2 linked regions of the Mytilus edulis genome follow. The protein of the gene in region 1 purifies or fractionates together with the protein of each later gene. This does not show direct contact. Links are inferred from orthologs where the notes say so. Each region holds a gene or a part of one and is shown on either strand. Other genes may lie near its edges.

Region 1 (8,479 bases):
AAATCACTGATTCAAGTAACATTATTTCCATAAAGGTTGGAAGTTAGAGTTGTCTTTCTTTAATAATCACCTATTTAAGTAGTACAAAATAATCACTATAATAGAAGAAGTGATTTAATTTTACTGTAGCTTTAAATATAGAATACTAATGATCCAGGGACTAATTATGTTTCTAAACTTATCAGAACCAACATCTGTGTTGTCTAGGATGGCCAGGTCATTTCAGGTGATGACCTTGTACCGAATCTAGGATAATGACATAAAAATTATTTGTTTAAGTATCATACCTCAATTTCCTTCCCAAAAATCACTTCTTTAAGTATCATTATTTTAATAACCCCCACTAATTTCAACACCCCCGAACAGTGAATTTTTTATCGCGAACAGTAGAATTTTATTACATAATATGAAAGATGAAGCCTTGAACTTTACAGGAAAAATACTCCCACTGCTGGGAAAAATCTTTTAAGAAAGTATCAGTTCATTATGTCAAGCCATTATTACAGCATTTTTTCAACTAAAATAGATTTTTTTGCTAAATGATAGCATCAAAGGCATAAACCTTGCTACTTAAAAGAAGCAAAAAATTCATTTTCTTTCAATTTTACAAATGAAAAAATATTATTTAAACCTATAGATGTGTTTAAAATTTTGGTAAAATTACAAAATCACAATTTGTGACAAAACTTCGAATTTGCTACTCAAATTAGTGATTTAAAAATCACTTATTTCAGTAAGTCCCCTGACTGATGATAGCACAGCATTTAAACAATTCGTGACCTTGATTTTATACCTCAGAGCATGCTTCTTGAAAATTATATGCTGTGGGTCAATTGATACATTTAGGTTTCTCAGAATTGTACATCATATACATGTAACTAAAGTTAACATGGTAAATAAAAAAGGTTACCTGGTCCAGAAACAGCAAACACATTGCCAAACATAGATTCTCTTTCTTCATCTTTAATCTTTGGTAGACTACTCTTAGCTCTGTCTAAACCACCAGCCTAAAAATACAATTTTATAGACATTTGTAGTGAATATTTTTGCTCATAGTTTCTTAGCTAATAATTGTTTATACCCTAGTATTTGGAGTATTTTCACAACCCACTTTATCTTAATGTTACCATACTGATTGGGGTTTTTTTCAATAAAGAAAATTGTAAAAATGTAAATATGGTAAACATTCCTTTTTTATATTTTAGACATCTGCATTTAAATATGAAAGATACAAATATGACATTGCTTTAAGACATGTAAGAGGAAAAATGACAGTATGTCTGGTTTTCATTATATATGAGCTGTGTCCTTATGCAATGGAACTATACATGTACATATATAACTCCATATATAAGCTAAGACTTTAATTGGTTTTGGAGCATTCAAATATGAATTAAAAGATAAATTTTGGTTCCTTTTGTAGGGTTCTCATAACAACTCAATTTTAAATATTTACAGCCTTTCTGTAGAGATTTTTCAACTGTTAACAGATGTATTGGTATTCATTGGCATAAGGTCAATTTCTATCTGATATTATATTTAATAGTCACGATAGTGTCATTATGATAAAGAAATGAAGGGCAAAAAAAACAACATTGAAAAGCAATGAATAAATTATTCTTAAGCATGTTAAGTTTTTGCACAGAAACAACAGGAAATGGTATTTTCAAACCAACTTAGGACCACACCATATACAATGTATGCACGGCAGAATTGAAAAAATATCACAATTAAACTTAGCCTTCATTTTGATCATTTTGTCATCAGTAACAAAATATTCCAATTTGAAAGCCAGTGAGTTCTAAAGTTATGGCATAGAATCAACATAATGTACATTTTCTAATACACCTGCTCAATACATGTACATGTATATCATTATATTGAGTCCATTCCCAAAAAAAAACTAAGTCGTTTAGACAACTTCCTGAATCGCAAAAAAAAACAAAGGTCATCAGCATGAATGAGCTGTGTGGGAAAAAAAAGTTTGGAAAGCAAACATTTGAACATTTTTATAGTTTATGAAGCAATTTTTACAAGACAAATGAAAGTCATTAATTGCTTTGTTTGATGTGTTTACAATGGTTTTGTCAGTTCTACGAAAAGTTTTAAGCACAATATATTAATTGAACAAGGCCCCAGATAGCTTCAACTGTCAACTGGTGTGAAAAAGTTGGTGTAATTTTGGGGCAATGACCTAGGTATCATGGATATAATTCCTGAAAGGCAAAAGTGAATCAACATCATCAAAAGACATACATGTATGTCTGGAGTTCTACCTAAATTATGTTTCGAGATAAGATTGTACCGTCTAACATGTCTAAGCTTGTGTATGCTAGAAATATGATTTTTTCCCTATTTTATACTCCAAAAATTAAAGAAGCATAAATAATTGTAGATGGTAATTTTTTTCATAAATTTCCTGTTTACAAAAATATTAATTTTTCGAGAAGAACTAAGGATTTTCTTATCCCATGGCCATGCATTTATTCGCTTAGCCATATTTGGCACAACTTTTTGGAATTTTTGGTCCTCAATGCTCAACTTTGTACTTGTTTGGCTTTATAACTATTGATCTGAGCATCACTGATGAGTCTTATGTAGACAATATGCACATCTGGCGTATTAAATTATAAGCATGGTACCTTTGATAACTCTTGGATATTTCTATCAACATGATCAACGACCTGAAAGACCTTCAACATCAAAGTTAAGTGGTTGATAAAACCCTTCCCAGTTTTTCGTTAGCTTTCAAAATTTTCAGAAACATTATGAAGGCATCTGATTTCCTGCAAATTTGTATTGAAGGAGCAGATGATTTCTTGCAAATGTGTATCTGATTACCGAAAAGGATGATCATGACATGGGGATAAATGGGAAAATCCTGTTATAATAACCTTTTGGATCTCATCTAGAAGCAACTGCCTCAATTAAGTATAAAAAACAAGACATACTATAAAATCACTATTTTTAACTTGGTATCATCATGAATATATATGTAATAGTTGCCACTGGACATTACACTGTTACAGTCATTAAGAATACAACATTAATTCAATCTCCTGGTAAAAACCTGACAAGTTAAATCTGTTATGAGAATTCTAGAAAATAGATAGTTTAAAGACCTTTCAAATGCGGTCATTCATCAATGGTTAGTGGTTGTATATGTAAACTGTCATGACTGTAGAACCAAGAAACCGGCAAATGACTTCGAGTGGCTACATGGTGCATTTAGGATTCATGAATAACACATTTCTTAGTCGATCTTTGTAGAACTTCAATTGTTTTGTGGTGACTGTTTAACATATGTAGTATTCAGCCAATTCTTAAATAAATACTTACCATTTTGCAATGAAATATTGGATTTGTAAAATTATCATGTGATAATCGATGTCTTGAGAGAAAACGACTTCCGGTTTGATAAAAATGCTGAAGCGGTTTTGTAATAATATAAAACTTTATCGGCGAATAACGAATACCGATCCGGATAAATTAATTCAGTTGTAAATTTATAACAATTTCAAAGTAATCCCTTTAAAATATCAATGCTTATGAAATTACTTCAAAGTGGCATTAAATATGTGATATAAAATATTAAGAAAAAGTTTTTTTTCTCTCAATCTAATGAAAAAGTGAAATAATATGATCAGAGACATATAATACAATTGTATTATATGTCTCTGATATGATTCGCTTTTAAGTTCGCCGGATTTTGACTGACTTCAATTGTCATAATGATAATCAGCTTAGAAACATCGTTGATAGATTATTCGTCCTCCTTTCCCGAATGTTACCTACCGAATTAGAGTGATTTCTAGGTTTTTTAGACGAGGAACACATGTATATTGACTTTATACTAACATGACCGGCATAACGGGTGCCACATGTGAGCAGGATCTGTTTGGTACCATCCCGGAGCACTTGAATGATTGAGTCGATCCACAAAAACTTATTCGTAATTGATTTAATAAAGTTTCTAGTTGATTGGTTTATCATGAGACAAAAGCTGTTGTCAATTACATAAACAATTTATAACTTATATAATCCAATTATTTAAGCATTGAATATTCAACTGTAGAGAAGTCAATTATCTTTGAAGTTATAATAATTTAATCCACGAATACGAATACGAATATTTTATTCTCATAAACATATAACACGTTAAAAATAAAAAAGGGAAAATAAATAATTCCCATTTTGGCCCAGTTTTGATATTAACTTTTTACATGAAGAATATGTACATTAATTTGTACAACAGGGACATTAGATACAAAAATAATCATCAATTCTATAAAATTCGTCAGATTCTTTTCATTTTATTTGTAAGAGAGTTTTGATACTCAAATATAGTTACTTCAATTTGTATAAAACAGATTTTCTCCACATTATTTGGTACGTTTACTTCTATAACAGTCTTATCTAAAGAGTATTGACACTCTTTGTTGCATGCGGTTCTTTTATTTCTTTACTTCAAGAGTACGGTCTAGTACTATGAGTAACATTTATAATACCACAAAGTATTACTTTTCTTGTTATAGCTCTTTTTACTAAAGAGTATCAATATTGCTCTCATTTTTTAAGAGTAGCAATACTCAATAAAGCGGTACCTACCTCCAACGTTAGAAAACTCCGGTGATTTTTTTTTCTAGAACCATTTTTTAGCATCTAGACTAGAGTTTTTTTTCTGACAGAGTATCGATACTCTTTGAAACTGTTTTCTACTTTAAGAGATTCGAAATTCTTCAAAACAGGTTTCTACAATGAACATAATGATAGTATTGATACTTTTGGAAATAGGTTTCTAAATTGAGAGAATCAATATGCTTTTAAAAGATTTTCTACCTTGAGAGTATTGGTACTCTTTTAAACAGTTATCCACCTCGAGAGTATCGATACTCTTTTAAATAAGTTTTATACCATGAGTATATTGAGAGTATCGATACTCTTTGAAAAGGTATCCACCTCGAGAGTATCGATACTCTTTTAAACAGCTTTCTACTTTGAGAGTATCAATACTCTTTTAAATAGGTTTCTACCATGAGCATATTGAGAGTATCGATACTCATTTAATACATGTTTCTACCTTGAGTATGATGAGAGTATCGATACTCTTGTAACACATGTTTCTACCTTGAGTATGATGAGAGTATCGATACTCATATCTATTTTTCGTTTTTAAAAAACATGGAAAGATTTGAAAAAATAAGGACTAATATAAGACTATCTGAGGTATGTATTGCTTCCTTCGATCCACAGATACGAATGGAGTACACTAAAAAGTCACAAAAGTTGAACTTTGAACATTAAATCTTTTAAAGCATGACAGTGTATAGCATCTTGATGGATTGAGTGAAGTTCTCAAGAAAACATGCAACCAAAATGTAATAACCCCTGGCGTGAGACGGACAACAACACATTCAAATGTATCACTTCTAAGTGGTAAAAACAAGAATATAAATGAAGTTCATATTTTTTATAACCTAATAACATGAACCCCATCAAAAACAGGCGGTATCTCAGGTGCTCCGGAAGGATACGCAGATCTATTCCACATGTGGCACCTGTCGTGTTGCTCGGGTTAAAAGGGTCTCAATGACTATCAAAACAATCGAATATATTTTTATATTATCTTCAATATCCATCTCATCCTCATCTCCTATTAGGAATATAATAATAAGTAGTAAGGGCCATTGACAAAAAAAGAAAGATTATACTTTCATAGAACATTTTATAAAGATAAAGATGAATAACCTTTTATGCTTGAAAATTCAAACTTTCTCAAATGTATTATAACTAGATCAACTATGCCACACGCTCCAATAGTTAACCTATATTCTGTATAATTCCACGTTTTATGCATGCAAAATATTAGAAAAAAAAAACCAAATAAATTCATTGTTGTATATAAGTACATATTTTATTGCTTGATCATTATGAACGCTATTTTGAAATAAAGATTAAATATTATATCTTGTATTTTGTGTGTAAACATAACAATTTATAAATCATGTTTGCTTTGATCATGTTGATATTAATAAGTTAATCTGATAGGATTATTGTGTATAATTTAACGAAGACCAATCAAATAACATGATAAAAACAAAAACAAACAAAACGAAGAGAAGAGAAATGAAATATTATACATCGTTATACAATATTGTATCTGTTTGACAACTGCACGTTAGAAATAATTGCCGATAGTAATCGTTAAGCTCTGCCGTCAATCCAAGTACGATTGATGCCAGATTTTGATATTTTACTTTTAAGATGTGTTCTCAACAATATTTTCTGCAATGTTTTATGAATAAAAAAAGTTTCACAACACATATGTTCGAAGATGGATGGATAATAAAGTTCCTCAAGACTGATTTCCATATCTGGATTAAAAGGTCCATCAATACTGATTTCTTCAGATCGTGTGTACGTGTCCCTCATCATCAATTATTGACAATAATCTGAAAAAAATAAATGTTATTTTTTTGACAAAATGTTATCAAAATACATGAAATATTTGCAGATGTTGCGTTCTGCAATGACTTGCATTGTATATTACTGTCTGAGAAACTTAAGAAACCGCTTAACAGTAAATAAAGGCAACAGTAGTATACCGCTGTTCAAAACTCATAAATCCATGGACAAAAAACAAAATCGGGATAACAAACTAAAACAGAGGGAAACGCATTAAATATAAGAGGAGAACAACGACATAACACTAAAATGTAACACACATAGACAAAATCCCACGAGAATATAAAACTGTCTAAAATTGAATCTTTATCTATATATCAATTTGAATTAAAAAAAAATAGAACGGTGCATAATTACAATGCATTTAGGAACATGAAATTCAAGAACCCGATCATGTACCCGATATATATGCAATTTTTTGACCATCACAACCACTCTTTCAGAGGTCTGTTGAAAGTCAACTTTCTGGTCTATCTACTATAGTTTTCAAGAGTTGGTTTAAATTTTCCGACCTATACATGACGTGCTTACTCATATAACATATACCTATTGTATATTTTTTAAAGATTTTCTCGTCCTCAGTATGCACGTAATAATTGCCACTGGACGTTAAGCATGCCTCACTATATAAACAGATGTACGTGTTATTCTAATGGATAGTATTAATTGGTTAGCAGATCATTTTGTTTTAGTTTTTGAAATTATTCTGGTAAAAACAAATAAAAAATGTACAAAATTGAGCTTGACGACATATTCAAAAGAAGAAATGATTCGTATTTTCTATCATGTCAATATTTAATTTATATTTAAATGTGTTTACAGATACACATGTACGAATACACAAGCATGCACTATTTTCTTTTTTCGCCTTCTTGATTTTATTCTAAGCTTTGGTGGGTATTGACTTAACTTAGATCGAGAATGGACGAAAAAGGCAATTACTACTTATTTCACCTTTTAAATAAAAACAATCAATTTCAAACAGAATACAAAGTGTGATATCATATTAGTATTCATGTTATATGTCATGCATGTATACAGGCCGTTGTTTTGTTCATTTTATTTACATGTACAACCAACCCATTGAGATTGTGTATGTATTTTTTATAACTTATATTGTTATTGCATTAAAATATTGACAAATATTCCCTTTTGTATTTTGTATTGATTTGATAAGAACACCTATTTTGTCATAAACACTGTGGAATTGGTCATATGATGCAACGCATAGATGACTTACCTCCGGTGTTTCCTGTTCGCCCACTAGAAGCTGTCTTACATCGGATGGCACGGGATCAGTGCCATCCACAGAATCTTCAAGTGCATTTTTGTCATATGGCTTGAACGAATTTAGTCGCCAAATACATCCCTTTCTGGAATATTGTGTCAGTTGGTATTTGTTACTCTGCATATTCTGTATAAAAGACAGTTTATTCGTCCACCATAATCTGGCTTCTTGCGTCAAATACGTTGACCAGACAGAATTGCCCTTTTTTAAAACATCCATGTCTAAAAGGTGAAAAGAGGCCATCAGTACTGGTGGATTTGAATTTGTTAGCAATGGTAACCCATTTGGTCTCACTTTAAAAAATCCTCTTCGGAGAGTTTTCCATGGTTGTTCTGAATTTTTTCGATAGTATACATTCACTGACTTGTTTGCCTCATCATATCTGTATCTAAAAATATTTGACTTGGAATGGCTTTTAACTCCAGCTATGCATGGGTCTAGCCAACCGCTCACATTATAGCACCCATGCAGTTCCTGTGCATTATACAAATGTTGATGTAGTCCAGGAAGAGTTGTGGCATCCGTGTGCCTCAGTCTATCGGAAAATACACTAAACATTTGGTCAATGTCTTCATGCGTATGACCAACATACAGAAAGGACAACTGAATCTACAAAGTATTTTTTTACACTATTACAGTATTAAATGGATGTCTACGAGAAAACCATGCAAAATCCAAAAAAAATTATGAAAGGGGTTGTTGAGTTTTCAGCTGATTTTGGGTTCA
Region 2 (8,410 bases), on another chromosome or scaffold:
TAGTAATAAGAATGTATTGCTAACTTAAAATGCCCCAAAAAGGGAAAATAGGATTTCAAACATTGAAAAAAAAATCTTTTCTGCTTTTAGCTACACATGTATCAATAAGCACATACATGATATGTGCCATCTTTTTTTTCTAGAATTGACTGTGTCCTGATTAAAAAATAATTTTAATTGTTATGTCAAAATGCAAAATTGAAATGAAATATCAATGATAAGAAAAATATTCCAACTTACTTTCCTTTAATGTTGCCATCCCACGCACTTGCGTGCTAAAATAGAAAAAAAAATTGTGATTAAACTAATAACAACAAAAATAATAATACAAATAACTAGAGGCTCTTAAGAACCTGTGTTGCTCATCTTGATATATGTGCATATCAAACAAATTACACAGATGTAAATGTATTCATTACAAAATTGTGTTTTGGTGATGGTTAATGTGTTCGTAGATCTTACTTTACTGAACATTCTTGCTACTTACAATTTTCTCTATCTATAATAAACTTGGCCCTTTCATTACAGAGGAAAATATTTTGTAAAAATTTACAAAAATTTACAAAATTAATGAAAATTTATAAAAATTGACTATAAAGGGCAATTACTCCTTAAGGGGTCAACTGACCATTTTGATCATTTTAACTCAACCGCCGGTTAAATCTCAACCGCCGGTTACCATATCTATATAAATAGGGTGCAAACATTAATCCACCATTCTGCCTCTGATGAAGGTCCTTTTTGGACCGAAACCAGTCAGGCTATGAAACATCACCAGGCGCTGTTAATTATGTGTATTGGTATATATAGTGTACTATATTTTTATTGACCATTTTGGTCATGTTGACTTATTTGTAGATCTTACTTTGCTAAACATTATTGCTGTTTACAGTTTATCTCTATCTACATGTATAATAGTATTCAAGATAATAACCAAAAATTACCAAACCAGTTTTCCAATTCATCTAAAAATTTCAGGGCAGACAGATATTGACTTAATAAACAATTTAACCCCTTTGTCAGATTTGCTCTAAATACATTAAATTTCGTTTCAGAGTTATAAGCCAAAATCTACATTTTACCCCTATGTTCTATTGTAAGCCATCGGGCCATCTTAGTTGGTTGGCCAGGTCACCGCACACATTTTTAAAACTAGAACCCTAATAATGATTGTGGCTAAGTTTGATTAAATTTGGCACAGTAGTTTCAGAGAAGATTTTTGAAGAAGATTACAAAATTTACGAAAAATTGGTAAAAAATGACTATAAAGGGCAATAACTCCTTAAGGAGTCAACTGACAATTTTGGTCATGTTGACTTATTTGTAGATCTTACTTTGCTGAACATTATTGCTGATTACAGATTAAATCTATCTGTAATAATATTCAAGGTAATAATAACCAATAACGGCAAAATTTCCTTAAAATTACCAATTTTAATGTTCCAGTCAGTCAATATACATGATATATGCAGTATAATAACAAATGAACTTATCAATCCTCATCATAATTTTCACTACATACAGTATTGTTTTTATTCATTTCAAGCTGACTTAGTTTGTCAAAACAAAATGTTGTTATTATTATTAATCCACCAAAGGCAGTTATTTCAATACAACAATCTGAGTCAGAAATATATTATTAAGATCAATTTTAATACCCTTAGGCTTATACAATTATTTTAAAATAAAAATAGGGAGAAGTGATCATTGATGAACAAACTTAAGGTGAACGGACCAAGAAAAATATGTTATCAGGGTGAACAGACCAGATACCCTATCTTATGATCATAAACAAGCTTCTGTCCAATGCAAGTTTGGTAAAAATCAAAGATATTTTAAGAACGTTATTAAATATTAAAATTTCTAAAAATTTAACAACAAAGTGAATATTTGTGGACGACGCAAAGGATGGATTGTAGGATTGCTATGTCTTACTGTTGTGACAAAGTCACAGGCTTAAAAATAGTTGCAATACGTCGTAGGAAGGCATCCAAGAAAAAAGTTAAGGTTCATCATAACCTTTTAAGCTAAAATGGTTGTATTTACACCATAAAATTTACTCGAGTACAGAGAAACCTGTGCACTGCACCTGTGAAAGTTTTAAAGCATGGCTGGATCTAGATAATCAAATTTTAAATGCATTTTATAGATCAGAAAATTATAAACTTTTTTGGATTTTGATATTCATTTTGAAACTCGTGTGTTTGTTTATTTTGCTATCTTCTGCAGACTGGAAAGAAAGGCACCTAAAAATCCAGGAAAGAAATTCATTTTTTAAAACATAGACCTGGTAGGGGGTCTCATTGGGGGGGGGGGGGGGGGGGGGGGGTTCTGATCCCGGATCTCGCTTACTGTTTTGTCAGATTCCCATTTCCCGCTTACACTATGTACATAAGCAATTCTCATTTTCTTGTCATTTCCTGGGTCCCGCTAGACCTCATTTCCCGTTTTCATGACACAATAATTTGACTTTCATGTGTCACGCTGACAAAAAATCGACAATCCTGTGTCACACTTAGATCCCGAGACTCACTAGGTCTAACTTTTATATACCTAGGTCCTGCCATGCCTTAAAACTTTCCTAGATGCATCAGTTTATCTGTACTCGTAGTAGATTTTTGGGTGTAAAAATGGCCATATTTTTCAATTCCTTCAAATGAACCTTTAAGTAGCCTTGTAAGAGGGGGGATAGGACCTTTATCGGGACTCCGGGATCGACTGTTTTTAAGCTCGGGATTTCGGGATTGACCCTTTCGGGATCCGGAAATTCTTTTTTTCGGATTTCGGGATGCCGGGATTTACTTTAATTAATTTGTGGACCTCGGGATTTAGTGTTTTTAAGCCCGGGATTTCGGGATCAGGACCCCCTCCTACCCCCCCTCTTGTAAGACATCATAATATTTGGACTAATGGCAATGATGCTACCGAGTACTGTATTCAGGCACGCTTTAATGTCAATTCGTCTCATATAACTCATTGAAGATCTTAGATTTTGAAAGCTGAACTGTGCGACAGTAAACTAAAGTACAAAATGTATTCTTTTGAAAATCAAGGCATATAACTAGCTAGTCCAAATAATTATAACGTCTTGAAAAGCTATTATATTTTTTTTCTTTGGTACCTTACATCGACGCAGAAAGGTGTCAAAGCAAAAATTTAAAATAGCCTTCCAAGACGTCATAATTATTTGGACTAAAAACTAGCAAGACCGATTTATTTTTGTCAACTTTGACAGAGGTCACAAAGCCGGTTAGATTGCTGTTGAAAAACAACAAGTACCACATGAGAGCGGCTTGTTCCTGTTTTCCTAAAGATTAAATGATTCATTATTTTAGGAATTATTTGGTTTAATTTGTATTGCACTAACCATTGTGGGATAAATTGTGTTGTTCGGGAGAACATGATGATTGTTTGATGGAACTTCTCCCAAAGCGAGGCACTGTGCGGAAGCTATTTAAGGGAGACAACTCCACATAAATTAACAACTATCAGCTTTTGAAAAAGCTTGTCTCAATGTATAATAATAATAATAATAATAATAATAATAATAATAATAATAATAATAATAATAATAATAATAATAATAATAATAATAATAATAATAATAATAATAATAAAAAATATTAATTATAAATTCTTTATTTAAAGAGAGTAATTCAACTGAGTCCCTCAAACAAAATACATGTTTACAGTTAACATTCGTACTTTCAAACATTTAAATACAATATATAGGTTCATTCTCATTTATCCAACTTTTTTAAAATATAGGTAGTACAGCTAAAAAAAGTTGGATAGATGAGATCAAAGGTAATCAAGAACAAAGGGTTTTCCAATTAGAGTTTGGTTGAATGACAGGTGAAAAATAAGACTGAAAATTATACCAGGATTAAATTTTCTCAGTGTAGTGTTATTTAGCATAGCATGTTAAAATGTGCAACTGACATTTAGTTAATGTAATGTAAATCATTTGAAAGTATTTTTAAGTTATTTAACCGTTAACTAAAATGTGAATTGGATAGAAAAATATCAGTTGCACTTTTATTCATGAAGGGATTTGTCAATGAGATGGAGCTTTTTTTGTATATTAGATCCTCTTCGTTCATTTTTTTCTGTTCTTCTGTCCAAATGATCCAAATAGGACAAAATATAAGTTGAATACGTTTTACTACACAAAGACTGAACAGAACAAAATTCACAAAACATATATGCATACATATATATAAAAAAAGCACACGCAATTCTAGAACAAAGATTATAAAATACTGGCACAGTAATATCAACCGCACACCGTGACTAAATGAATGTTCAGTAGATTCACACAACATACAATGGCATTAAAAAAATGTCCACTATAGATACACACATCATACATTTTTTTTTATTAAATCTGTAGCCTGCAACTGCTAGGTAGTGACCTCTGTCATGAGGTATTAGTTGTACTCTTACTTGTGCGTTTGCCATTTGTGCAATAATGAAATTTCGGATTAAATGGCTACATCTATAATACTAAAATTACGAGGTCCAATTTGTCAGCCGTCATCGGGTAAAAACGACAAATCAAAGAATTCAACTCTATATATAACTAATATAGGACAATGGTGTAGATTAAAAATTACACCACTCCAGACCCTTTTTGTTTTCCACATAATTAATATTGCCAATAATTAACAAGTTCCGGGTCTAATCCGATACCGATACCAATAGTATATTCACCTGTTAGCTATTACCTTATCTGTGCGTTCCGCATTTGACAGGCGCACCACCAACGGTGTATTTAGGATTTTGCTATATACACGGGTCATAATCAAAGGGCTGACACTACTAAATTCAATCATTGTCAAATTGTTCACTATTGTAGCTTTATTCAGCAATCAGCAAGACTTTCTAAGATAACTAATGTAGGACAATGCTGTTGATTAAAAAATACCCCATTCCTGGATAGCCTGGACCTTTTGTTCCAGGTCGACGGGTTCAAACAGAAAGATTTGAAGGCAGAGAAAACTGTGTATCTTATAATCGACATGACTTTATCAGATGACAATAACAATTACTAAAATAAGGATTAGGCATAGTTATATACTTTAATTCAGTCACGGACCCGCGATATCACGGGTGTGTACTTGTATATACTAACCATGAGCTTAACTAAGAAATATTCTTTATAGTGGGTCTCATTGGGGTCTAAGCGTGACGCGGGATTGCTGATTTTTTGTAAGCGTGACACGTGAAAGTCAAATTATTGTGGCGTGAAAACGGGAAATGAGGTCTTGCGGGACCCGGGAAATGACAAAAAAATGAGAATTGCTTACGTACATAGTGTAAGCGGGATACGGGAATCTGACAAAACAGTAAGCGGGATCCGGGATCGGAACCCCCCCAATGAGACCCCCTTTATAAAAATAGAGTTCATTCATTCATTCATTCACATGTTTTGGAAAGATTGCTGAGTAGTATTCCATAGTTTTAATTTTTAACACTTGGAGATATGTGATTGGGTTGTGAAAAATGTTTAGATTTTTGCATTGATGAGCAAATATGCTGAACACGAACAATGATTAATTTGGTAATCACTTTGAATCAGCACCACAAATAAAAGTTAACAAGTCTAAAAAAAAGTAATAAACACATCATATTTACTCAATAAAATGTTAATATAAAATTATTATTGATTGTGGGTTTCTTCTGTATAAAAGATTCAATTTATTCAAAATATACTAAATTTTATTCAAAATATACTAAATTTTATTCAAAATATACTAAATTTTATTCAAATATAAAATGTAAGAAGTTTACTATAGCCTATATTTTATGTATACATTTTTTAAATAATATAAAAACATACAGGAACAAATTTACTGTCAAATTATAGAAAAAACACCTTATAATTACTAAACAAACAACTCAATAATTAACAAAAATAAAAGTTGGCTAAATGAGAATGCCTTATTTTAAAAAGTTGGATAAATGAGAAGACACCAATATATATTACAATATGTTTTACTAGTACCAGGGACTTTTTATACTAAGTCCTGTTATATAGTACATACATAATTCAATCATTCAAACACAAATGACAATAAATGGCAATTATTGATAAAGTTATGGTTAAATTTTCTTATTCTTACAACCACAGAAAGAAAACTAACTATTAGACTTGCATACAATTTTTAAGAAAATGAGTATAACAATGTTTCTTTATTTTGAGTGGTAAATTATTAATCTAATGCAATTAATAGAACATAAGACACGAGTTAGAGTTATTTCGCAGTGCATTTCTTTAAGACAGTAACAGAAAAAAAACGCCTGCGCCTTCTAATTAATATTTTTACATAATTATATCAAAATTATAGAAATCCGATCATATTTTGTATTACTTTCAAAATGTTTCAAATAAATAAGATGTCGTCCAAATAATCATGCATATATCCCACTGGATTCCAACACGCAATTGTCTCCATCAGAAACTCAGACATGCTCAGTATATCACAATCTAAGTAGCCCTCTTCAAAAAATGTCCTGAAAAGATCTGCTCGATTTAAATTAACTTGCAAAAAACCTCTGCACAAATCAAGGGTAGAAAACCATAAATTCCATAAAAGCTTCAAAGGAATCATTTTTCCTGAAAAAGAGATAAACATCATCCACAACTATCAATTCACCTTTCCAGAATCTATCAGAGGACAAAGGGTAATCTCATTATTCGTACACCAAAATGAAAATAACGTTACGTCATTGGTTGCACTTCTATTGTTTATTACGTTTTAAACCAATTACAACGTTTTGGAGTACGCTTTTGGAAATGATTACCCAGAATACATTAGATTTTAAAACGGCGAAATTATAGTCAACACGAAACATATACGACCATATTTCTTTTTAAAAGCACAACTCATGTTAAACAAGGGCGATCTGATGTCTTGATCACATCAGTCACCAATATTTAAACAATATGTTATATTCAACTAATTTCGTAGATGGTCAGGGTTACGCCTGGTTACCGTTGGCCCGCATAACCAAACCAGGCAAATCACCTGTATTTGTGTGATGTTTATGATGATGGTTCCCCCTAGATCTTTATCAGTTTCGGAAAAATCTCCCTTATGTTTAAGGATCAGATTTCGAAGCTGTCTTTCTTTGTTACGAAAAGACTGTTTACTTTATCTCTAAAGCAAGTTTTGTATATCTAAGTCTGATATAAATTATATTTGGTCTTAAATACTCCTCGCACCTGTCCTTCATTGTCCCTTGTGGACAGTTTTTATACTTTTCACCAGGAATTCAGAAGATTGATCGATACTTGATCACAAGTTTTATCAAAGTTCGACCAATCAAACGATTGACCATTCTGATATTTTACAATCCATAAGAAGTGTCTCATTGTTTGTCAATTTGGAATGCATGCATATCTCGTGAGAAATGACATTTCCCTCACAGGTGGATTATTAGTCGTTTCTGAAGCGACAATATTATATTACCCAATAGAACCATAAAAATAGGAATGCCCACAGAGTAGCAAGTTCTTTGCTACCACATTGATCCCACAATCATTAACTTGGGTTATTAATCAAAGATTTGTATAATCTATAATTTTGTAATACTACGGAAGCGTATTAGGGACATAGAAAAAAATAAAATTGGTGTGACATTTTTTTTCAAAGTCAAAATTTTGGCATTTAAAATCTCAAAATTTCGACTTTAACTCGAAATTTTAACTTTTCTTATCTTAAAATTTTGACTTTCTAAAATCTTGAAATTTCAACTCTTTTAAAACTCGAAATTTCGACTTTTTCTAAACTCGAAATTTCGCCTTCTCCAAACTCGAAATTTCGACTTTTTCTTAACTCGAAATTTCAACTTCTTTTAAACTCAAAATTTCGACTTCTCTTAAACTCAAAATTTCGACTTTTAAACTCGAAATTTCGACTTTTTTTAAACTCGAAATTTCGACTTTTTTTAAACTCGAAATTTCGACTTCTTTTAAACTCGAAATTTCGACTTCTTTTAAACTCGAAATTTCGACTTCTTTTAAACTCAAAATTTCAACTTTCTTTAAACTTAAAATTTCGACTTTTCCTCAGTATTTATACGTTTGCGATTACCACATTCACAGTCATTTATATCAGCAAGGCGGAGAGTCATATACATCACAAACTTCATAAGCATATTTTAATAAACTAAACCATGTTAGAGAGGTTATTTTAGATAGAAAATCTTGTTTTGGCGAAGATTAATATAAATAAAATATGTTTCACGTTCGAATACATACTTCAAGTCTGAACTTCAGATATGTGTATCAAGACACCCCCGCTATTCCGACACACCTATATTACGACATACTTTTATTCAACAGTCTAATATATAAAGACAAGGGTTAATAGTTGTGTTATAAGAATGCAAACTCCAAAACTAG

What was found. Proteins that work in one complex are often made in the same cells at the same time.
Region 2: the proteins of V-type proton ATPase catalytic subunit A (region 1) and ATP synthase subunit gamma, mitochondrial-like fractionate together in Homo sapiens (co-fractionation; 3 studies listed by BioGRID). This does not show direct contact. The link is inferred for Mytilus edulis from reciprocal best matches to the Homo sapiens genes ATP6V1A and ATP5F1C.

What each region holds. Positions count from the first base shown.
Region 1 is NC_092348.1:77,322,319-77,330,797, forward strand, and holds the start of V-type proton ATPase catalytic subunit A, read right to left. Parts: upstream 3,419-8,479; 5' UTR 3,343-3,418; coding exon 3,340-3,342; intron 1,008-3,339; coding exon 911-1,007; intron 1-910. Other genes in the region: uncharacterized protein, read right to left, coding at 6,435-6,452, 7,706-8,362. UniProt on the Homo sapiens protein: Catalytic subunit of the V1 complex of vacuolar(H+)-ATPase (V-ATPase), a multisubunit enzyme composed of a peripheral complex (V1) that hydrolyzes ATP and a membrane integral complex (V0) that translocates protons.
Region 2 is NC_092344.1:88,077,874-88,086,283, forward strand, and holds the start of ATP synthase subunit gamma, mitochondrial-like, read right to left. Parts: upstream 3,482-8,410; 5' UTR 3,403-3,481; coding exon 3,368-3,402; intron 276-3,367; coding exon 241-275; intron 1-240.